Linked DNA regions of Drosophila melanogaster. The protein of the gene in region 1 purifies or fractionates together with the protein of each later gene. This does not show direct contact. Each region holds a gene or a part of one and is shown in the gene's direction. Other genes may lie near its edges.

The links.
Region 2: the proteins of CG4716 (region 1) and CG33096 purify together in Drosophila melanogaster (affinity purification with mass spectrometry, with the first as the bait; one large-scale study listed by BioGRID). This does not show direct contact.

Annotation. Positions count from the first base shown.
Region 1 is NT_033778.4:13,251,581-13,262,446, forward strand, and holds CG4716 (uncharacterized protein), read left to right. Parts: upstream 1-5,006; 5' UTR 5,007-5,102; coding exon 5,103-5,774; 3' UTR 5,775-5,866; downstream 5,867-10,866. Other genes in the region: CG4714 (uncharacterized protein), read right to left, coding at 316-689, 747-843, 918-2,645; CG10799 (uncharacterized protein), read left to right, coding at 6,371-6,871; CG42319 (uncharacterized protein), read left to right, coding at 9,108-9,314.
Region 2 is NT_033777.3:25,092,596-25,106,926, forward strand, and holds CG33096 (uncharacterized protein), read left to right. Parts: upstream 1-5,076; 5' UTR 5,077-5,410; coding exon 5,411-5,874; intron 5,875-5,938; coding exon 5,939-6,118; intron 6,119-6,179; coding exon 6,180-6,312; intron 6,313-6,600; coding exon 6,601-6,684; coding exon of another isoform or gene 6,685-6,873; exon of another isoform or gene 6,874-7,190; intron 7,191-7,346; 3' UTR 7,347-7,534; coding exon of another isoform or gene 7,535-9,151; 3' UTR 9,152-9,551; downstream 9,552-14,331. Other genes in the region: fd96Cb (forkhead domain 96Cb), read left to right, coding at 2,523-3,338; CG33095 (uncharacterized protein), read left to right, coding at 7,535-9,151; CG45095 (uncharacterized protein), read left to right, coding at 9,972-11,012; CG34027 (uncharacterized protein), read right to left, coding at 11,075-11,290, 11,342-11,608, 11,663-11,845, 11,911-12,164, 12,221-12,592, 12,646-12,957, 13,023-13,432, 13,496-13,615 and 1 more.

The DNA of each region.
Region 1 (10,866 bases):
CGTTTTTGCATACGATCTTAAGTATTTGTATTTTTTATATTTGTTTTAATGTGCTTTTGCTGTTTTTTTTGTTTTTTATTATATTTTTAGTGTTTATGTATAGAGTTGTTGTGTACTCGTGTACATTTGTTATGTATCTGGCCCTATGCTTTTTTTGACAGTTTTTTCATCGAGACAGATGTTGTGAAGGGTACACTATAGTGGTGTACAAGTATTGCTCTTTCAATCCATTTACAACTTATTGTCACAGTAAAAGCAGCCAAACGATTTTATTATAAATTGTACTGTTTTATTGATTTGTGGATTCTTACAACTCTATATACTTCTTCCCTCTACATAGCTGAGCCGACGTTGGAGTGACTTTAGGGTTTCCCTGAGCTTGGCCACCGTTTCCCGCTTCTCCTTCAATCGCTCCACAGTGTTGTCGTAGTCGTACATCAGCGAGGGCATCGCCAGGATGCCGCCGTGGAAGGTCATATCCCTTGACTGCTGACGCATCTTCTTCCGCTCCAATTTCACTTCGTAGAGACGTCTACGCAGGTCTGTCTGATTTTTCATGGCATTCTTCAACCGGATTTTACTTAGCTCAAAATTTTCCGCCAGAGCCAGCGCCTTTTCTCGATTGTGTCGCGTGAGATGAACGTCCATGAGGAACTGGGTTCGCATCCTCTTCAGATCGGTATTGCGTTCTGCGGGAAATTTGTTCATTAGCCCATGTATTTTTTTTAGGCAATAATGGTGCTCACCCTCGATTTTCTTTTGCAGGGCAAACACATTATTTTGCACGGACAAGAAATCTTCGATACTCAAGGTCTCACTCAGTGTGTCAAGTTCCTTGATTTTCTGCTCAAGTCACAGAAGAATAATGTTAATTTGTTAAAAACTGCTGCGGAATTCGCAGTCCACGGCAGACTTACCCCCATAATGCGACCTAAGGTGTGCTTTCTTGTGATGAGAAACAGTCTGGAGTCGCTGATCTCGTTCCGCTTGGCTGTCATCATTCTCAGTTCGCGATCAACTAAACGTCGCAGATTATCCGATTCGGGCCGGACCAGGTGTTCCCGGAACAGGTGCTCCAAGCGTTCCTCAGTGATCGAGGCGACACTCTGGGCGGAGTGGAGATCCAGGATCACTCTGTTCATCTGGATGGCGTGCTTGTGCTTGGCCACATCCAGTCGATACTTCAGACTGTCAAGCAGGGCCAGGGCATGCATGTATCGGGAGTGGAATCGTTTTTCATTTTCCGGCGAGAGTGTGGCGAAGACACGGGCATTGCGATTGCGTTTATAATATTCCACAAGTCGATTGCCCACCATTTCGTTGGTGTACTTCTCATACAAATATGTAGTGATGACTTTATCAAGCTCGGTCAATAGCTTATTCTTGTCCAATTTCGCCCGAATTTTATTGTCCTTGTTGTGGATGTCCGATAAACTAGCCGTCTCCTCGAAAAGGTCGTACAGTAGTTCACGGACTACCGCCTTGATCTCGAGAGCATGCGAAATGACTGGATCGTCTCGGACCTCGGGAACTGCAAAGGCAACCTTTGACAATGTGCTGAATGCATCGATAGAATCTTGGTTTTGTTCCACTCTTTTTACGACTGGAATTTCATCGAATTCCGGTATGTCGGAGACATCGAAAGAGTCGACCTCACTTTCTGGAGCCGCCTCCTCAGCCTGTTGCTCTTTGTCCACGTCTCCAATCGATTCCGACGACGAGCTGGAACCGGAGTCCATGTTCGACGTTGGATCCGCAAAGAAGCCATGATCTTGCTGGACGCTTATCACCGACCCAGCGTCCAATGACTGTGAAGACTCGTCGTGCTCCTCCGATATGTCCGACAGACTGGGCACATCAAAGTCCCTCAGAAAGTTGGTTTTTAACTGGACTGAATCCGGATCGCATTCGGTTTTTAACGTTCTTGTCGATACAATGCTTATGCCAGTCAAACTAACCGAATAATCAATGTCCTCATACTTCACATCCGATTGGAATATGTTTCTATCAGCGGGGCCATCTGAGAAGCCATAGGTGGGGAATAGGCTGACCAATTTGGGTGGATGGAATGGATAGTCTTCTGAGTCGTCGGTGAGAACTGACGAGGACACAGACTCCCCGTCTCCAATGGTGGGCTCATCAAAGGTGACTACCTGTTCCTGCTCTTCTTCCTCTACCTCATTATCCCTGATCTCTTCCATATATTCCGGTGTAAAATGAACTGGGCTCTCGATTGCTGTCGGTGCAAAGCGAGTGGTTGCGAAATTCTTCAAACGCTCCTTTCGCTCCTTCTTCAGCTTCAGTTTCTTTTCTTCTGGCGATAGTTCATCTGATGCTTCCGTTTGCTGCACTTCATTACCAAGCTCAGTTGCTTCGATAGCTACGTGTTCGGTGGTTTCCGCTTCCTGTCCCTCCTCCGTCGCCACCTGGGCGGTAATTGCGCCAGATTCGATCTGTGGCTTCTCCTCCCGCGGCTCATCGCCAGCTGGTTGGTTGCCCTCCTCTGGCTTGGAGATCACTTCGGGCTCAGCTGTTGATTCTGGTGGCACAACCACTGGAACAGTGTCTACCTCGGATTTTTCACCTGCCTCGATGGCCTCCACCACGTGCAAGACTTCTTCCGTAGAGGCATGATTCTGGGACATTTTTGGTGTTAATGTGTGTGTGTGTTTTGTTTTTTTTTTGGTGTTTTTGTTGTTTTTAAATGTTTTTATTATTTTATATTTTTTTGTGTGTGTTTATTTTGTGTTACCTGTGGGTGTGTTGTGTTTTTGAGTTTCTATCTTATTGTGACAAATAACTCAAGCTAAATAATAGGTAATAAAAAGTTTATGTCAATATGGATTAATTAAAATTTAAATATATAAATAATAAATACATATATCCAATACTTTTTGCAAAGCTCTTGCAGTACAAGTTATAAATGAACGCATTTGATTTAAAGAAAAACTGGTATACTTTTAGGCTTGACATACTAATACTATATCCATTTAGATTAAACGTTCTTAAGCAATAAACAAAATGAATTTAAATGATATGAACTTGTGTAAACAGATTCTTTAGTCTTAATAAGAAGGCGATTTTTTATTTTTAAGAACTACAGCTCCATTACCGAACTTTGTGTGGAATTAAGGCGAAACTGCCGGACTTTAAGCACCATCTGGGGTCCAATTGGAGGACCTAAGTAAATCTTGCGAGGGCTTTAAAGTTGATTGATCGTTGCCCATTGTGTGCGTGTGTTCTTGGAATTTTTTTTGTCCGGGTGCGGTAAACTTTATGACATTGATAAATTTTTAATAAATATGACAAAATGTCGGCGCTTTAATTCACTGCCATTTTGGGCAGCGGCACCTGGTGCCTGGAGCAAGGATTTACATAAAAGTGCTGCAGTGCTGAAGAGTATAATTTGCATGGGAAGCACTGCAGCACGTGGAATGGATTTCGGGTCTTAATACTTTCCGTTTGATTGTCTGGGCGTGGAAATTGATTCAGCACAATGCCAAATTGCTTTAAATTATGCATGAGCCTGCGACTTTGCTCCACCCAATCCACTGCTTTCCCTTTGATGTTGCGGAGGACATCTGGGAATCATATTCAATAAGTTGGATCCGCAGTAAGAGGGCAAATAACTTTTTTTATGACAGACGCAATGGGCCAATCCCCTTTGATGGCTGTTAAATAAATTTGTTTTCGATGTTATTTAAGACGCTGCCATTGCCGCGCCTTCAGGTGAATAATAGCCAACTTTCTGATGGATATTTAATAGTCGGGTAAACACCGGTGACACTATAATTGCCCCTACTGGGCACTCATCAGTGGACACATGTGACCTACCGGTGGACGCACTTCCCAGTCGTCTCACGTCTTCTTCGGCGAAACCGAAAGGGAATCCTTTTGCTATTTATCATTCAGTCCGAAACTTTTCGGGAATCCTTTCACTTTTTTTTTTTGTTTGCTTATCTGTCTTAAGTGGCATTTTTGGCTTAGGCGTCTACAGTATCTGTCGGATACTTAGGAGAACTCTTGAACTTGACTTTCCCTCCACGAAACGCTTCAATTACGCTGGCACGTTGCGCCGGCAAAATTGTAATTTACGAGTGTTTCTCTACACAGCGCGGGAAAAGATAGTCTTTTGGATACACAAATCGAACAGATTAAAAAATGATAAACAATTTTATGGTAAAAGTTTTCGTTTTACTTACTTTTACTTATATGAAAAGAAGAAATAGGCAAGCGCTTAACTTTCGGATTTTTTGATTTAATGGAGCTCTTTGGAATTCATTTTTTCATTAATAAATTTAATTTTATATTTTTTCCCAGAAATTATATATACATATATATGCTGTTTAGATTAGAAGTTCAATTTATGTGGGTCGTTCTTTAAAAACAAATATGGATTTCACTGAAAAGCATTAAAAGATTAGATGAGTTAACATATATATTATATATATATTTAATTAAGGAATTTATCTATAAAACAAAATTGTAAAGCTAATAAAAAAATATTATGTATTCAACAAGATTTTGAGTGTTTAAATTTGTTTTAAAATAATTCTGAATACAAAAATATTACCTGTGACTGGTAAATTTACATTTTTTGCTTGCTGTGTACTCGGATTATACTTATACATTTTTGCTCATCTGTTTTGAAGTAGCATCAATAATTACAAATTGCGCGTCGGGATGATCTGTAGTGATCCGTGGGCTTATCAGGCCTGACTTTGGCAGCTCGATAGTGCATCGCGTTCCACAGCCTCTCAATTTGTTGTCATGAATTATGCAAGTGAGTCTGGATTTCTGGACTCGCAATTGGCGCAAACTCGGAAATTGCGCAGTGCCGCGGAAACTGAAAATGGGAGAGAGTGTTATGTGCAATCTATATGAAATATATGTATTTATACATTCGCATTTGATGGAAGCTTTAATTACGGTTGCACCCGTAATCTGAAAATCTGGACAGAAACGAACTTTTGAGGTTTCTTGGCAAATCTTTGCCATCGGTCGTAGTCAGTTTGCAAAATAAGGTCTTGGCGCAAAGTGTGCCTAGAGGAGCACAGGAGAGTTTACATACCTTAAAAGGTTATACCACAAGGACTAGATCAATGCAGCGATCACTGTTACTACTGGCCGTGTCAGCCATCCTTTTCTGTGCTGCAGTGGCTCTGCCCTCAAGACTAACCAAATCCGAGGAGGATTGGCTGGAGCAGATGCTGACGCTGAGCGAAGACAGCGGTGAACTGCAGGACCTGGACGAGAGCACCGGAATCCATATTATCAAACGATCTGCCAAGGATGCCAGCAGCTCATCTGAGGAGCATAATGACAAAGCCAAAGACAAGGCCAAGAACAAGGCGGACAGCTCCGGCGATTCCTCCTCCGAGGAAAAGACAACACCAGCTGCGGTAGAAGAAACAACTACGGAGCACACTGCTAGGAAACGCAGAAGCACGGAGGATACGATGGTGCGATCCTTTTGCCAGTCACTGAAAGAATTCGATATTAAGAATTTCAATCTACAATCTGCATATGACCGGGCCGTAAGCTTTTGTAAGCAAAGGGAGTCTAGACGAAGACGCCAGGCTGCCGATCAGAAATCCAGCGATGCGCCGGACCTGGATGCCCAGGCTGAGAAGGAACTGGACGAGCAGATGGCGCAGGCTGTGGCGGAGCTTTTGAAGGACAAGGACAACACCAGCATCGAAGACTACGCCCAGGGATGCGAGGTCATGGAGGTTAGCTCCAAAGAGGCCAACGAGGCCACCTATGCCGAATGATTTTGAATAAACATAAATAACATTATAGCTTATGTTTTCGTAGCCATATTACATTTTTACTATTATTATAATGACTGAGTCATCAAAACAAGAGATTAGGCTATTGCCTATGTATTATTTACTTTTTAACTTATGGGGTGTGTTTATTCAAGTTTACGAGTAACACGTATAAATATCAGCAACAAGAAATATTTTCCTCTTCTAATAATTAATTTTGCCATATTATTTAACTATTACAATTTTCATTACTTGAAATGCATTTGGAAATTAGCTCACCTAACATTGAAACTTAGCTTATTTAATTGTGTAAGTCAAATTATGCATTACGTGTCTGTTTTAAGGGACTAAGTGCGTCTGTTTCAATCTACATGCATTATAAAGAGTCATTTCTGAAACCCACTATCTGCCTGACTCAATTGAATTTGAGTCTATAATCACATAATCGCCGAGGAGGCGATAGCACATTTGTTGAGGCTTCGCCGGTAACGTGTGCAGCTGTCCAGAATCAGTTCGAAAAAATCAGTCTCAGCGAGAAGAACCCACCCATCAAGCTAGTGGAATAGTGGAGTTTACCAGGATATACAAAGATTACCGGGATGCGTCGATCTGTTTTGCTGTTCCTAATCTCCGCCATTGTGCTGAGCGCGGCACTTCCTTTGCCCCCAATTTGGGAGGACTCCGAATCGGATTCCGAGTATAATGATTATAGTGAGCTATCGAAGCAGCAGAATCTGAAGAGCAGTATCGAGAAAACTATCAGCAAGCGAGCTACCAAGGACACTAGTAACAGCACGGAAGATGATGAGCTCACGGATGGTAGCAATGAGAATGTTAACGATAAAATGGACAGCTCAATGGAATCGTCTTCTATGCTGATCATGGCATCCGAGGAAGAATCGGAGTCCGCTGTCAGAAGGCGCAGGTCTGGTGAGAGGAACAGGAATATAGGGCTCCTGGCCACGATTTGCCCAAATGCTGATTTCAGAGATTTGGAGAACGGTATTACCCTAGATTCTAGAATTGAAATAAGGGATATGTATGCGATTTGTAAAACTCTACCAGAGTCCGGTCGTCTACAGCAATACAACCGTTCATAAATTAAATAAAAGCAAAGAAGAATTCTAAAAATTTAAAAATTCTTCTGAAATTTGTTTCCCTCAGTCATGAAACCCCTGTCTCATTAGTCATCTACCTCATTATCAGTAAAAACCATCCTTATCACGACAGCAGTCGTCAAAGTTGTCTGACCTCAGAGCAAAAATGTCAGTTTCATGTTTGTTTACGCTTTTGAATTTATGATTTACTCATGAGAACTAAAAAAAGGTCTGCATTCTTGAAGTGATTTTAGAACGCTTTGGTAACCAATATCTTGTTAATAAGGATTTAGAAATATAAAATTTTTTTTTGTAATATTACCAACAAAATCTTTTGGAGAATTTCGATCGATACTTATAACCAACTTTGAAACTTCTCTTTGAAACTGAAGCTAGGGTATCTGTTAGTCGAGGAAATTGACCACAGCATGTTCTTTAGTTTCCGTACGAAAAACTATGCATATATGCTAAACGAATTGTTTTTTTTTGTTTTCTGAAGTCTTTTTTGTGATTCGTGTCATCTGCATTTTGCGCCCTTTCCGACGTTTGGGATATTGAAAAATTTTCTCGAAAAAATCGCCTACGGTTTTCTCCCTTTGTTTGTCACCATTTGTTGTTGTTGCAGCTTTGCGGCTGATAAGGCACGTTTTGTTCACTCTTTTATGGCCACGTCAAAGAAATGTGTACGAACTATTCCTTAAACATGCATATCACACACATGAGCATATCCACATTTGTAGTATTTCCTGTGCTAATCGAAATTTCGTTGTCAGGTGTGTGCCACTTTTTTGGGGCCTTTCTCCGAAAATTTCCCACACATGGAACTCTGATTTCCATTGTTGTTTATTTGACAAGTCGAATTCTTTGCCTGTGAGCTTGGCACGTTCAAGTTATTTATTCTGCTTTAAACTTGGCAGTTGACGTGCATCACAAAGATGTTGGGTATGGACATGAACTGCGCAAAGGCTTTAAAATATGATTTTATGGTAGAGGTAAATTAAATTAACCATTTCTTAGTTGATAATAATTGGGATGTTACTCGTGAATTAATTACTTTATTCGTTTAAAAGTATATAACACGTAAGGGAAAGCGTTTCCGAAACTACATAGTATACATATTCTTGATCAGGATCACTAGCATATCCGGACATGTCCGTATGTCCATCTGTCTGTCCGCATGAACGCTATGATCTCGGGAACTATAAAAGCTTGAATTTTCAAATTGGTATTTGAGTAGTGATTTTATAAATAAATTTATAAGGTATCATCTGTTACTTTCATCTCCAGTTCCTTTTCTTGATTGAATATAAAACTAGCTTGCATGCGTAGCTTTAATTAATACTCGTTGTTGAGCAATGAATAATAACTTAATAACAGTGGAAAGAGAAAAAACAGCTGATGCTTTGACTATGAATACCAAATGCACTTGTGAATTTAAACTTGTATATTTGAGAAGATCTTTAATCAAAAGCAAAAAACGCTTCGACTTGGCAAAAAAAAAAAGCAACAAAGAATGCAACAGTTTTGCATCGTCACATTATCTAAAAAAAAAAAGGAAAAACAGACCACGAGGAGCAGAGGAAAAGCGCGAGAGAGAATGGGGAAAATAGAAAAAATGCAGCCACAAAGGAAAACTTCTCGAAAATTATTTTAGTTGCCCAAGTCGAGTGCAGTCGTGTGGAAGTGAAAGAGAAGCCACAAAATACAATAAAAAAAAAAGAAAAACAAAAGAACCAGGCAGCAGGCATAAAAAAAGCGTTAAATACACTTTCCATAATTATCCCTCATAGTCGTGCTTATTCTTGGTTATTCAACAATTTCGGAGTTTCCGTACTTTTCGCCACTTTGCGGGCCAAGATCCAATGAGATTGGGGTTGTGCAATGCGTGACTGCTGATTATATAAGTCGCACAATTACCCAAAGTTCAGGCATTCAACTAGTTCCTTCACTTTCAATAGAAAGTTCGAAAGTAAGCGAGTTTCAGGTTGTGTTGAAAAGCCGGCAAAAGTCGAGTAATATTTTTGCACAGGCGGAATTTTGACAGGCAAACGCAAACAAGCAATCGGAAAAAAGAGCAACTAAAACTTTCGCAGCGCTAAAAAAAAGAGCAATATAAAAGTGGAAAGGTAGAATAGAAAAGCAAGAGTGCCGCCGGCAAGAGTGCGAATTTATAAATAAAACCAGCGGATAGCAGGAAGAGATCCGGTATCTCTTCGCCAGAGAACGGGTAAACAAAGCGATGCCGGAACAACTGGGTCTGCTATGGTCCGTGCCGGAGTCCAAGTCAAAGGCGCCCATCATCAAGGTGTCCTGCGGCATCGGCGATACGGACGGCTATCCCGCCTTCGATGTCGACTCCGATGCGTATGCCACCAAGGACGACAGCCGGTGGGGATTCCTCATAACCGGCGGAGCCGAGTTCCATATGCCGCTGACAGTCTTCCAGGTGAGTTGCGTGGTTAAGCTTGAGGTCGGCATGGGGGTGGTTCACCCTTGGGAACGGGACCATCTGGTGCCTGGCCAAGAATTATATTGATACAGTCAATCTCGGGCCATTGGAAATTTTAGCTAAGGCACTTAAGCTGAACTGGATAACCGGAAACCACCAGGAAAGGGAAAAATACAATAGAAATTTGCAATATAAACCAATTCCTCATTTCACTTCAAACTTATTAAAGTTACACCGCATGAAGATAATTTATAACATGGTTGATAACTAGTGGTATTAAATAGTATGCGTTTGCTTAGTGGTGTTTATTTCAAGTTAAAAAATGATTTAGATACATCGTAGGCTTAATTGATTTTTAAGATTTTAAGAAGAGTTTTGAGAAGAGAAAACCTGCTGACTAAAATCTTTTTTCTATTTTTCAATTATTTGAACAATATACGTAATGTATAGAATTTTTATTGATAATCAACTGGCTTGAGTTACTCTTGCAGTAGTATCTACTGTAGCTTCTTTCCGCTGCAACTGCTGTTTCGTCATTGTTTCCAATTTTTGGTTGCGAGCCAGAATGACAACAACCCAACCCACCAGCCCACGTCAAATTTGAATTCCAATTATGCTATGACGAAGTCGCATCGAATGCAAATTGGCTGCCGCCAAATAGAAGCGGGCATTTTATTGTTTCTTCCATCTGCACCTGCCGCGCCCCGTCTTCGGTCTTCGTGTTCGGTCTTCAGTGCTCAGTCTTCGGTCTTCAAGTCTTTTCTAGCCTTTTAGTTGGCGTGTCTTGTCTCCGCCTGTTTTGCTCTTTTTGGCCCACTTCAGTCTCGAGTGAATGTACAATATTTGGGTTAGCCGAACACCCCTTCCCATCAAACATAAAATAAATACGCTGGTTGTCATAAAAGATATTTGTCGAAGCAGATATACAATCGAATATCGGATCAATAAAAGTATTTTTACACGCATTACAACTGGAGAAATCCCATGATTATGGGTATTGGAAATCAAAGTCATAACCATTTTGTATTTGTATTATAAACAACACTTATAAAAATGTTACGCACTGTACCGTATATCTATGCAAAATGATTTCCCATAAGGCAAAACTATTAGTATTGCTTTTGGCTTTTGTGCAACATTTTACTTTTGACGTTTTGCGTTTAGTCTTAAAGAAAAATATCAATTGTTGTTTTGTTTGTTTTATTTTTGAATTCAAGTCATTTTGAGGGTAACATTTGAAGAGTTTGATGAACTTAATGCCTAGTTTGGCGTAGCTAAACTTGCTCTTTAAACATTAAATTCTCACATATGTAATATACTTCTGAACCGTATTTATTTCATCTATTTTTATATTTTTCAAGGGATGTCTATTATAGGGTACACGCCAAGTTGATTATGCTTTCTTTAAAAACACCGCATTGTGTCTGTTTTCTTTTAGATGTTATTGTTTTTTCATTATTTTTGGGCCATTTTCTTTTGGGAGCAGCCGTTCAGTCAGCTCATCTCGTATACATGTCATCTGTATCTGTCGTTCGCGCATCGCTTATAT
Region 2 (14,331 bases), on another chromosome or scaffold:
ACCGACCGAGTAGTTGTTTTGACTGAAAGCCTGAGCACATACAACGATTTCAACAGCTCTTCGCGTTAATGGCACAGAACACCACCTTTTCACTTGGCCTGGCCTTAACGGCCCATCTTGGCCATCTGTCGACTGCAATGAATGCTGGCATCTTTGACACTAAAAAGACCACAAGGATCGTGTTTAGCTCGACTTTTTACCGCTCCGACGTGATGAAGATCAATAAAAAGTCATTACACAACATTACCATTTCCAAAATGCATATAGTTTTCCTTTTTTTGAAATAATTTCACGCCCATTTCCGGCATTTTCACCAGAAAACTGAAAATATATCAATAGTATGGACTTGACTTATCCTAGATATGATTTTATAAAATTGATATATTTTAGTTAAGATTTTAATTTTTTTGTCTTTAATTTCGGTATTTGCTGTGTAATAAAGCAAATATTTAAATTCAATGGATTTAAATACTTAATTGTGTACCTAAGTGCATACAGATTATGTAAATTAGCATGCACGCCTAAACGCTGAGATTAACTAAGGAAGCTAGACACCAAGTTCGTTAATTAACGAACGAATAAAAAGAAGACCCCTTCTTATTCTCTGCTCACACCTCAATTATCTCATTGGCAGTCTGGAGAGGGATCTTTGAGTTAGTAGAGCGTTGCTTCTAAATTATTGTTATTTATTGCCGTATTCATTACTACTCGTTGGGTAAATAGCATGGTGTTTTTCTTTGGACAGTTGAAGAAATGATAAATATGTTATTGGAAGGCGATGCATTAGATATTTTTTCTTGCTCTTATATGTTATGTGGAAATTAACTTCAAGCTTGACTGCAAATAATCTCCTCAATCCCATTAACTTTAATTCTCCAAGTCAACAGAACAATTTAAACGACTTAAGCTATTAACAAGCTAAGAGACGGTTGGAAGTAAAATATTTGCTTAATTCCGAGTACATTTATAACAATTTAATTCTGTAAAAAAATATTGACTACCACTATATTCATATTTATCATAAGCCTTGTATTTTTGCTTACACTGTCCCATTAATAATAGTAATTAAACCACAGGATTATTTAAAATCCACTGCAGGAAATGAAGGGGATCATTAAACGGAAGAAGACTGAAACACCTTAAAAACCGATATTTTTGTGATTTGTATTTTTTTTTTGGCTTCCATAAGGCTGCAGACACTCCGTGTAAGAAGTAGTTCAGCTGCCATATAGATTTAGATTTCATATAGATTTAATAATAATTTTTCCTAAATTAATTAGAGTGTGTTATGAGTTTAAGAAGTGTCATCCAACTGCTGACATTTACATTAAATTTAAGCCCCTAACGACCAAATCGAATATATAATTTTTATTCAAAGATCAATTTACTATTTATATGATATTCAAAATCATGATTACAAGTTATAAGATAATAAATAAACATTGACATCAGTTAGTAACATAAGAATTAAAATTTGTTAGTAGCAAATCAATCGTGCAATAGCTTTTTGTAGCCTATCTAGCAATAATAAAAAACAAACAAAGTACAAATATGATAAAAATATCTTAGCTTACAATTTTTATTAAGTTCTATCCTTAAAAAATTTAAGTATGAATAGTACATGTTATCTCTACATAAATATAAAACGGAAAGCACCTTAATTTATTTGTACGGATATGTTCAACTAAAGCTGGCAAACGTACAAGATAATGCAAATACGCTGGTGCTCATAATTTATTTTTCAATTTCATGCAAAAGCCAAAACAATTTAAATCATTTTCTGAAGCGAAGCAATACGATGGGAAGTGAAATACGAGCGTTTCCTTTATTATTTCATGTTCCGACCCGCCCACAATTCATATAAAATAAACAGGTATTGACAAAAGCTTGCAAATCAAGGGCTTTCCCCTTGCAATTGTGCTTTTGCAGCACATTTGCACATATGTGAATGCGATTGTGCTGCTATCTCGACGAAAATTGAAAATGGCGATGGGAAAAAAATGGGGCCTTATTGCCGTTGTTGCCTTGTCGCCGGGACAAAACGCTTTTCCGCCACGCTGCTCCTGGTGTTAGGCTATATTGTGTGTGGGTAATCGCATACGCGATGATTGGTCCAAACTCTCCGGGCAACCCATTTCGAAATTCGCCGTAAACAACACCTTCGATTCCCATTGGCACGCCGCTCAGACAAGGACAACCAGATCCGAGACCTGTTTTGGCCAACATTGCCTTCTCGCTCGGCATAGTGAGTACTGGATACTGGATTGTGGATAGTTGACATACCACCACCGGTTGGGCATGGGCATGTGTGCGAGAGGCAGCTCTCCAAATCCGGTCTTGCTCTTTGCGAGCAGCCAGTTCCATAAAACATGAAGTTTTGCTGCCCCTCGCATTAGTCTTAACGCTGCTGCCGCCGAGAAAACATCGCTCTGAAGTTCAAAAAAAAAAAAAAAAACCCCATAAGGAATTATTTGGTGCGGACGGGGAACGATTGTGTGAATTTTTGAAACGACTTCTTCGCAATGCCACGCCCATTGAAAATGAGCTACGGTGATCAGAAGCCTCCCTACTCGTACATATCATTAACGGCCATGGCCATAATACACTCGCCGCAAAGATTGCTGCCGCTCAGTGAGATATATCGATTTATAATGGATCAGTTTCCATTCTACCGGAAGAACACGCAAAAGTGGCAAAACTCACTGCGGCACAATCTCAGCTTCAACGATTGCTTCATCAAGGTGCCGAGGAATGTGACCAAGGCCGGCAAGGGCTCCTACTGGACACTTCATCCCATGGCCTTCGATATGTTCGAGAATGGCAGCCTGCTGCGGCGGCGAAAACGTTTCCGCGTCAAGCAGCTCGAGAAGGATATTTCGAACTGGAAATTAGCCGCCGCCGCCAATACGGAGATGGTGACCCACTATCTGGACGATCAGCTAACGCAGATGGCCTTTGCCGATCCGGCGCGGCATGGTCATGTGCTCGCCAATGCATCTGCTGCCCAAATGTCACCCTACAAGGCTACTCCGCCGATCCTTCCGACGACTGTGACCCAACTTCCGGCGCGGCCAAAGCGCGCCTTCACCATCGAGAGTCTCATGGCTCCGGATCCGGCGAGCACGCCAAATGAGGGATTAGTGCCCATGGAGTACGGCAGTCCCGATGCCGTCGCGTTGGAAAAGCCGCCGTTTAATTTGCCATTCAATTTCAACGAACTCGCCGCGCAGTATCAGTTATACTTCCCAAGTTTTTTCTACAACGGCCAATATGGCAACATACCTTGCTACCAGAAAACACCGCCGCTTTTTCATAACGGCCCGTTGCCCGTCTTTTGATTATGAAAGTTATAGTTAAACTAGAGTTAAACCAAGCTATGTCTAAAACATACTCACTAGTGGTCCTATTATTGTAATCTTATGTTATTTACTTGTGTACTCATCTTATTTAAACGAAGCCGTATTGTAAACAGTTGAGTTTAGAAGATCTCTAAAGTCAATAAAGAACTGCCTATAATTGTATTAAATGTTTGTTTAAACTATACAACTATGTAGGTCTGTGAAGTCTAGCTGTAGCACCCGATACTTTATTTTTTTATTTTAGTTTACCATTAGAATAATGTGTAAAACCCATAATTATTATCTCCGTCGTGAAGTTTAAACTGTGTATTATTTGCAATTCCTATTGCCACAGGGAATATACTTATGTACATAACTAACATCCAATCTATTTGGTTCCTTAGATAATTGCAGCTCGAAAACAAACTACAGGTTGTAAATATATAAATAGACGCCGATTAATTCGATTACAGGTCGAAAATAGGTCCGCAATGGTTAACTTGCCTTCCTACCTTGTTTTGCAAATCATTTGCATCTCACACATGCACACACACGTATTCGAATTGCTTTTGTTTCCATTAGCTGTCAATCATCCTTACATATGTTTGACTTCAACCCTAGTCGGAACACCTCGCCTTCGCTACCATCCATATCCATATCCACATCCACTTCCACATACATTATAAAACACCCATTGGAAAGAAGGGGGAGCGGGGTCGTCGGTCGATACGGCGCGGAATGTAGTTTGTTATGTCTTACAAGAAAGGTGGCACAGACTTGGAAGCCGAATTTTGAAATACTTTACTACATAAATTCAATGATCTACAGAAAATATTTTAACGAAAAAATGGTTGAAAGTTGCTTTTATCTAGGGAAAGTCCTGTAAACTTAAGTGTTTTTGATCTCAGGTTATTATTTTGATCTTCCAGATGAAACTGTAATATTCAAAACATAAGTCTATTGGCCAATATTAATACAATACACATTATTACTTAACATCCTTAAAGTCATGGGATAATATCAGGTTGTTTTATGCATGGGATAAGATCAGGTTGTTTTATGCGCATTGGTCTTATGGAATAGCATTCTCTAAATATGTTTATTACCAAACTAGGATTCTTCAAATGAGCCCGGGTGAAATCCTTTCTCCATAGAAACTATAAAAGTAGGAAACAATTTTGGTTTGGTACAACCAATTAGTTGTAGGACTACGTATTATGTACCAAATTTGAAAAATGTGCATACAAACATTCGTTATGTACATAAACGTGAAGAGTTATGTATGACATAACTTTATAAAGTATTGAAGCAGATAATATTGAAACAAATCCGATTTACATGCACAAAATATTTAAGGGCTCTTATATATATGGGCTACTTCATAGCTGGACACATCTCAAAAACTGTGGATACTTTTTATATAAAATTTTCCCCAAATTTACTTTAAAATATTCCTCTAAGGTGGTCTGCATTTTTGAACACGCTTTGTGAGAGTTTTTAAAAACTATTTGCAGATTTGCAGGCACACATTTCATGACAGGTTTTAAATCATCATTATTGAAATGTATTTGCCTAACAAGGCAAATGAATATGAATGAATAAATATATCCCTCGTTCCGATTCCAGTTCGTTCTGGGGAAAATAGAGATTCGATTCGCTGGTGTTTTGTACTCGCTGCCCAGGCGGTCACACTAAAAATACCAAAAGCGCCGTTGTTTTTTAGGGCGTTTTAGCCACCTTACTTCTTTGTGGTTGTTTGCCTATCTACATTGCCATTTTGTAAATGTGAGTGTACCAAATTTCAGTAAGACAATTTACCCATTAACCGTTCGATTATGTTGAATTCTGTGTGCGAACTGAGCCCGAAATGTTATGTTTGTCTCGTCACCCCCGTCGCCTAGCCCACTGACATCTTGCTCGTCCACGTATAGATGATATAGACGCGAATTGGCCCGAACCCGAAGTCTGAACCCAAAAACTCCGTTAGTCCTTTGTTGATGGTAATCGTGCATTTGAGGCGAGAAATCGAAATCGTTAGCATTCCGTAGAGACATTCAAGGCACGGAGCGAGCATGTTCAGTATCAGCGAGCTCTGTTGCATGTTTTGCTGCCCCCCGTGTCCGGGTCCCATTGCGGCCAAGTTGGCCTTCCAGCCGCCGGAGCCCACGTACAAATTGACCCCGGCGGACGACACCAACATCCGGTACAACCTGCAGTTGTTCGACCGCGCCGAGTGGCAGTACTCTGAACGTGAGAAATCGAAAGTGGAGGCCTTCTTTACGCGCACCTCGCGTGGCAACCTGATCACCTGCATCTATGTCAGGTGCAGCAAGAATGCCAAGTACACACTTCTCTTCTCCCACGGGAATGCAGTGGATTTGGGCCAAATGAGCAGCTTCTACCTGACCCTGGGCTCCCAGATCAACTGCAATATCTTTGGGTACGACTACTCCGGGTACGGAATGAGTGGCGGCAAGCCGTCCGAGAAGAATCTGTATGCGGACATCGAGGCTGCCTGGCAGGCGATGAGAACCAGGTAAGCTCTTCTAGTTCACCCCATTGATTCCGCTTTGCTAACTCGTTATGCACCCTCAAACCAGATTCAACATCAGCCCGGAGACAATCATCTTGTATGGCCAAAGCATTGGCACTGTGCCCACTGTGGACCTGGCCTCGCGTCACGAGGTCGGCGCTGTGATACTCCATTCGCCGCTGATGTCCGGCCTAAGGGTCGTCTTTAGGAACACAAAGAGAACCTGGTTCTTCGACGCCTTTCCCAGGTGAGATAATTCGTTGAATTGCGTTCATAGCCAATTCTAATGTTATCGGATTTCCACGCAGCATTGATAAGGTGGCTAAGGTGAAGGCTCCGGTTCTGGTTATCCACGGCACCGATGATGAGGTCATTGACTTTTCCCATGGCATCGGAATCTACGAGCGGTGTCCTAAGACTGTCGAGCCGTTTTGGGTGGAGGTAATTACTCTTGATTGATTACCCGCCTAGAGCAGGTTATGCACTTATTAAGCAGCATTTTAACCGGAATAATTATTGTTATTATTCATTCTAATAGTCTAGCGTTTTCCCTGAAATCGATTAAGTGTCTCGTATCAAGTTCACAGCTTTTCATAAACATTAAAATTGGCAATTCAATCAATCTTTCTCAGCAATGTGATCTCATCGTATCGATTCTTATTTATTTATTTAATGATATGACTTAAAACTTAGCCTAATTTGCAAACTCATGAGAAACTTTGATTTCAGGGTGCTGGACATAATGATGTGGAACTGCATCCGCATTATTACGAGCGACTGCGCAAATTTCTTTCGGTGGAACTCGTCAAATGACAATTAAAGAATAATGTGGACGGAGGCGTTAGCGACACTACATCGGGCGTAATATCTAATTCAAACCCTGCCGCCGGTAGTGCGTCCCTAAGTTCAAAGCACCCGAATCCTGCCCCTGCGGCAGGAAGCGAAACAAGTAAAAAGAATGTGGACACAAATGTCAAACGGATTGAAAACGATGGTTTGTAATTAACTATAAGTATTGCAATGTAATTATTTATTCAGCCGCATCAATACATTCGAGAATTGCATTTTTTAAAAGATTATAATTAACTAGTTGTCAGGAGACTTGCACCAAGATCCCCATTCTTACAGCATTGTGATCCTGGTCCCCGTATTAATTGAATAAGCATAGGTCATATCATCTTATACTTAACCATATTGGTAGAAAAATCAAACAATAACCGCATTAAGTTCTAAAACGATCTGTTAGCAATATGCTACAGTAATATGGTTTTAATATTTAAGGACAAGAAGTTTGAATAAAGTAATTTTTTGATACTTTGAAAGTGAACTGTTTTCTACTTGCAACCACTTTATTGTTTGGCTTCTACGCTTTTAGGAAAAACAGTGAATATCTTCTTACCATTTATGATTTGTAACTTTCTCTCTAATTTGTGATCAGCTAATGTCTAATGTGTGTGTGTTCGCTCTTCTTGCAGGTGCCTCAAATTCCAGCCAGAGTTCTACTAAAGCTCTCGAGCAGAAGTTTCTTTAGCAAAAACAGTCGGGCTCATATTCAAAAGCCCAACCCTTCTCACCACAGTTCCCAAGCAGGGAACTATCAAGTAAATCGTGCGGAAACAGACATAGTAAACAAAATAGGAAAGATGACCCACCATTAACCGATATGAAGTCGAACGGCTTCTTTGTTTCTCGTTTAAAACAACCAAATATTGCTCCAACACTTCCAGTACTTTCTCCACATTCACCAATGAATGCTAATATACATATAAATAGCCAGCATACCCAACTTTCCGGTCGATATCTAAATAACAAAGTGTCCCAACAAATCGACACTGAAAGTATAAAAAGAGTGGCATCTAACCGATCTCTAAAGGACAGTCAAAACGTCTTATCCATTTCATCAACTCTAATATGCAACTGCGAGAAGGCCCAAAAATCGAATGGCTCAGAAGCGGAAGCAAACGAAGAAATCAAAATTAAACTGAGCTCAGATACTGGTAACAAATCTACCATTAGTAAATTAAAAGACCCGAAACTCTCTTCAGCGTCGGAAAAAAACGCATTAGATAATTCAACCGAGGGTTGTTTGCAATTGAAAAGTGTAATTGGAAAGGAGCAAAAATCGCTGTCTCCGAGACTGACGTTACACAAGAGTGGGTTTCAACAGGCCATCATAATTTCCGACGACAGTGAGAACACGAAGTCTTCGCGATTAGGTACCCAAACAGCAAGGCAGCTCTCCAGTAATTCAGACAATCAATTTTATCGACAGCTTACCCATAAGATTAGCAAATCGGAGCAAACTTCCCCAAACAACTTGGAGCTAGACAAAGCTAACTTTCTCTACGATACGAACAATAGGAGTACGGGCTGTTTGGTGTATCCTTCGGATCCATGGATAAAGAACTCGCATATTAAGAACAGCTTGTCCCCCAAAACGGAAAAGTATTCAAACACCATGCATCACAATATCGATCCGTGGGTCAAGAGACAAACAGATGCTGCTGTGGAAATCTCACGGCTTCCCAAGAAAAATTTCTACCGCGAAAAATCCCTTTCTTCCATAAACAATAAACTAATTTCGACCAGAACTGAGAAATCAAAGTGTGCAAAGCCGCAGTTGAAGCATTCGAAAACGGAGCTGGACGATGATCAAGTATTTTTAAATGAGCCAGGATTGCTTTTTGCTCCATTCTCTCCGCAATATCGCAACACGTCGCATAAAATCTGGTCTCTCGACCAGCCTTCTAACGATCTGAAAGCCAACATTCAAAGCAAGTCAGCTAGTTTTTTACCGGACAAGGTGAAGGAGATATCCAGTCCATTGCCGAACCATGTTAGAAAATCTGTACAACAAAACAATAGTAATTTGCTGTGTCCGAATGTTCAAGCAAGATTATTGCTTCAAGTAGAAAAGCTGCATTCTAGACACAGCTCCCTATCGATTCCCACTCAATCGAAGGATGAACTACCCCTGAACATCCGTCGACTGTCCGAGCAGATCCGTGAACCGCCTTTGGAGAAAAACATCTCATTATCCCTCAGCGATCGTAACGTTAGCAAAATTCCGACATCTGATGGCGTGGGCGAGGCTCACCTGGTTGCCCCTCACAAGATGGACAAATTTCATGTGAGTAGGGATGCCGCAGTGCAGAGTACAAGCCACCTTGAAGACTTTATATCCCTACAACGAGGCCCCAAAGATTCCACAATTGTTAATAATGTAAACCCCTTTACGAGTACTTATAAGCCTGATCCACTTTTAGAAACCACCTGTTAAAACCATTTGCTAGGAAGCCGAAAACCGAAAGCCGATATTAAAGTGTCTCTGCATAGCTCATTCATAGGTCATGAAAATATACAAAATATAAAACCACAAAAAACATACATACATATATGTCTTATATATCAATCGAATCTAAATATGAATAATAAACAAGTAATAAATAATAATTTTAGTAGTACCTTAAGTTTGAAATTTTTACAGTGATTTTGCATTTATATTAAGTAACACTATAATGCCCTGCCAACAATATGGGGCTAAGTTTTAGGCTTAACTACATTCGCAAAGCATATATATGTGTGTAATAGTGTATTTTCTCCTCATTTTATTGTCATTTTACATATTTGTTGTAATACATTTTATAGTAATAAAATCTTTATAAAGAGCTAAGTAACGCATCTAGTTGTTATTCATTGGCCGCCTGTTGTGTGGGGGGTTTGAAAAGTTCCCAAATGTACAATGGTTTTTAAACTCTTAAAGTTGAGAAAATATTACGCTTTCACTGCTTTTTGTTTATATTCATACTCTTTCAGAGAAACTTTTATACAATTGGTTGGTTTTATGAACGTATTAATTTGACAACCCACGCAAATCAAGCCTCTATTAATTGCATTCGATTTGACTTTCACCGAAAAACAAGCAAATTAAGCTCGCTTTGGATAAGGCCCATAGTTGGGATTCGTTGACATAATCCGAGCAATTCAGAGTGTATTTATGTAATCTGGAATCCATATAAAGTCCGAATGCAAAGCGGATTAAAGACAGTTGTTGATAGTCTCTTGTGAAAACATTTGTTCACTTCATACAAAAAAAAAAAATGCTTTGGATAAGAGTGCTTGTGGCGTATAGTATAATTTTATTTGGAAGTTTCCACGGAGAGTGTGCTGCCGTTCATAAAGATAATAATACATATAATTCAACAAAAAACTCTCTTATTGAAGCTCAGTCGATTGGGAGAATCGTAAACCGCGTAAATCAGAAAGAAATTAATCAGAACATCCTGCCACCGCCAAGTTATTTAGGTGAAACAACTCGCACATCGAGTACTGATCCAGAAAATCCCTGTCCCCATGATATTTCTCAATTAAATGCTGCTCCAGAAGCCAAGATCAATGAAAACCCATCAGCTACGCATATAAAGTACGGATCACAAGTAAACACTCAATCCACTTACTCATCAGATTTTCAATTGCAAATACAAAACCCACGACCAGTTCAGCACATACATTACCACTACATTGTGCCCAATTCCACTCCAAAACCGATCATAAATTATGTGACTCAATCTCAATCTGATTTCAACGCCCACAATGTTGTTAATTCAGTAGGTCAACCATACTCCCCAATCGACCCTCGGCCATCGCATATCGCATATGAAAGCAATCAGCAGCATAGCAATCGAGAAGTTGTGTCAGTCAATCCTTTGTCCTCAGCGGTGGACAATGGTGGATTCATCTACGATTCCCCGGATGAGCACCAGGGTCAGGCATCTGAAAATACATCCGTATACGAATTTAGGGATCCTGGCCAGACTATAAAGGATGAACTGCAAAGGGAGGAGGCTTTACTGAAAACAAGTTCGGAGTTTTCCATAAGCCAGCCAATTTCGAATCATCAAGTGGATGTAGTCAGTCCATTTCCGAATCAGACGGAAGTTTACTTTATTAAGTACTACGATGAACATAACAAAACTACTACTTCACCCGAGTCCCAGATCAAAATGGATACTTCAAGTGAGGTTTCAGATGGAAGTGGTTTAATAGACATCAGGGCAGGAATAGCTGAAACTATGGATGGACATATAGAGACAACGACTCCATATAATGAACATTCTGCATACAACGTTCCATTGAATTAGCATATAACTTAAGAATGTAAATTATTGAAAATTTAATAAAAATAAGTAATGATTATAATTTTTTATTTCTGATTTGCTTTGATTTGCTCCTGTTGCGCTGCAAGCTTAACAAAGGAACTTTCCAAGTGATTTTCATGGTCGATATTGATGCAAGGAACATTCGGTGGAGGAACCACTGACAGATCACCTGCCTTATGAACCTCCATTTTATTAGCATACACTCTAGAGAACTCATTGGAGTGGATGTATTGAGGTTGTGGCAGAGTCCTTACTTCGTTCTAAGGAAATATTTGTAATAAGCTACTAACATGAGATGATATAATAATTACCTCCTCTGTGATTCCCACAAACTGGGACAATGGATGAAAGCTCATGAATTCAAACGATGAGCTTATAGTTTGCACAAAGAACCCTTTCACGCAATACTGATACTTATTCGGGATGTCTACTACTCCGCCAACTGGCGAACTCAATGTTCTATAAGCCAATTGCGAGTTCATCAGACTTTCCACAAACTCTTCGGCCGCCATATCATCGACACTTGGACTTTCAGTGGCCTGCTCGACATTCTGACCAGGATCCAAGACTTGACTCATCTGCAAAGAAGAACTCTTTATATTCTGTAAAAAAAAAAAACGATTCATAATTACCATCTTGGTCAGGGAACATTTGCTTTCCTCCAACACTTCTAGGATAAACAAATGACTCTCCTCGTCGTCTGACTTCTCGTCCTTAAATAAACCATTTTCATGCAGTGGAGCAAAGGGTAGCACTAGATTATCTTGTATATCCTGGCCACCATGGAGTCGGCAACTTGAACTGGACTCCTTTTTCTAAAGCATAATTCTTATCTATATAAGATACAAATTTGGAAATCCATATAGTTTGTTCCACTTACGTTACAGGAGCATTCGGGTGTTTCATCGTCCTGGGAAATGCAATCCCAATCGGAACTAGCATCTATGAGGTCCTTCGCCTTTGGTCGGAAGCATTTGAACCAACAGGCAAAGGGATATATGATGAAGAAGAAGCAGTTGATCAAAAAGATCCTAATGCAGGATGTGTATTCGTATGTCCTGCCAGGCTGTACAGTGTCGAAGCCAAATCGACCTATGCAAGTAATGCAGATGCCGAGAATGGCCTTTAAAAGTCCTGCGAAAAGAAAGATATTTTATATTGCATTTTAAAGCAGTATATAATAGGTTTACCCAATATGAATAGTAAAATCAGAACTATCAATGCAATGGCTATTACTTTACAGGAGAGATTGCAAGTTATCTCCTCATTTCGATCGCTGAAAACGTCCTTGATGCACACATCTTGTGGCTCGTTGCCCGGTGGACAATTGTAGATGAGTCCAGCCTCTTTCTCGGACTTGGGATCCATTCTTTCACAAGCATTGTAGTTTATGAAAGTTTCCAGCTTTCCGATGCAGTGACATCGACAACGCCAAACACAAAAGCACCTCGAGTGGCATTTAATGTCCATTGTCCTTTTGGCAACCACGCCTACTTTTGGGTCAACGGGTTTCGCTAGATTGATATCATTGTCATCAAGTTCTGTGCTCGCCTTAACGATCACTTTAAAGTTTAGATAGCACATTAAAATAATTACAAATATATTTCAAACCTACCATCACAGTTGTATTTCTTGTTTTTCTTCGATCCTACTATCAAGGGCAATAGAAAAATTATGGTTTGGCCAATATAAGGCTGTAATAATCTTCTGGCACTATTCGATGCTGATCCACTTTTTAAAATATTGCAATTGCAAATATGTATGATGAATTCTTGGGCTTGAAAACCATTGTTTATAACATCGATCGAAATTTGAAGCGCATCTTTTGTGGTTGCATCGGTAACGATTCTTGATATTTTCACTATATGCTTATCGCGCATAACGAAAGCATTTTCTCGAAAGGGTATCTTCACTTTTATACTAAATTCTAAATAAATAAGATTATGACTAAAAAAATTCGAATATATACATATATAGTGCTTGGATTACCACCTGGTACTTTCTCGTCCCGAATATTTAGGCATAGGGTTTTGTCCTTATGAGGGCAATTATCCAACGCATTCATAGTCACTGGAAGATATCCCAATCCTTTGATGCTTCTAGTTTCTAACCCTTTAATACTATCCTGCTTTTGAGCTTTCAAGTTGAAAGATCTCTTTATTTCCCTAATAGATACGTCCTTATTCGATTCATCCAGCAGAACACTATTCCCAATATTATTCTGCAAGTCTTTTAGGGTAATGGCATGTCGTTTTCTAGCAAATGTATTCTCATTTTCATTGGGAACAGCAAGATTTCGATTGGAAAAGCCTGTTAATTTCTCCAGGCGAATCATATCGATGTGAGAAGTAAACACAGCCGAAAAGTCATCATTTGCAAATATGCCTGATAAACTATCAAGCCTAGTTCATTAATAAATAATTTTTAAGTTATTAAATCACTATAACCATACCATTTAAACTCACGTTACTATCGGAACAACCAACCACCACGTGTTGTGACGCCTTCTAAAAACACGCAGCTTGGTGGTTAGAAATGGTACAGGATTCTTCATATTAAAAATCGTATAGCTCCATTCCTTTAAACTAAACATGGAAATTGTTAATGATCAGAAAATTATTATATATATTAAACAATTACGTATTGTTTAAAGCTCGGGATAACTTGGAGGATTCACAACTGCACACTTTTGGGTTGGTAACACAGCCGCAGGATGCAGAATCCAGGTTGCCTTCTGTGTATCTGTATCTATTGGCTTTCTTGCAACATTCACAAGGTATCATATAGTCGGGCAAGCGACGCTCTTCATTTTCCTCACTTAAACTGTTGATTTCAGAAGGCAATCCACTAGGCAAGGGTTTCCCTCCTGGCTTCTTATTCTTACCACCACACGTGTCACAAGGGACGGCATCATCCAGTTTGGTATTCACATTCTCGATTTTACCTTCCATGCTTTTGGGATCCTCCAAAGTATTACTACACATTGTTCGGGGCTTTTCATCCTTCTTTTTATTCTTGCCCCCGCAAGTATCACATGGAATTTCACCATTATCATCAATGTGCTTCAAGTTCAACGCTTTCAATGAGTTAAGATCGGTATCATACTTTGGATCCAAATCAGAATCTTCATCGTTTTCCATATGACGATCTTCAAGCGCGGATCGTTTCATCCTTTTTAGGTATCTTGATCGTGGAAACGTCTTATAGGAATTGCTCTTTGGGTAATTCAAATATGGATTCATCTTCGGCTTGGAACTGAAGTCTAAATATTTTTGACTACTAGCCGGCTTCAAATGATCGA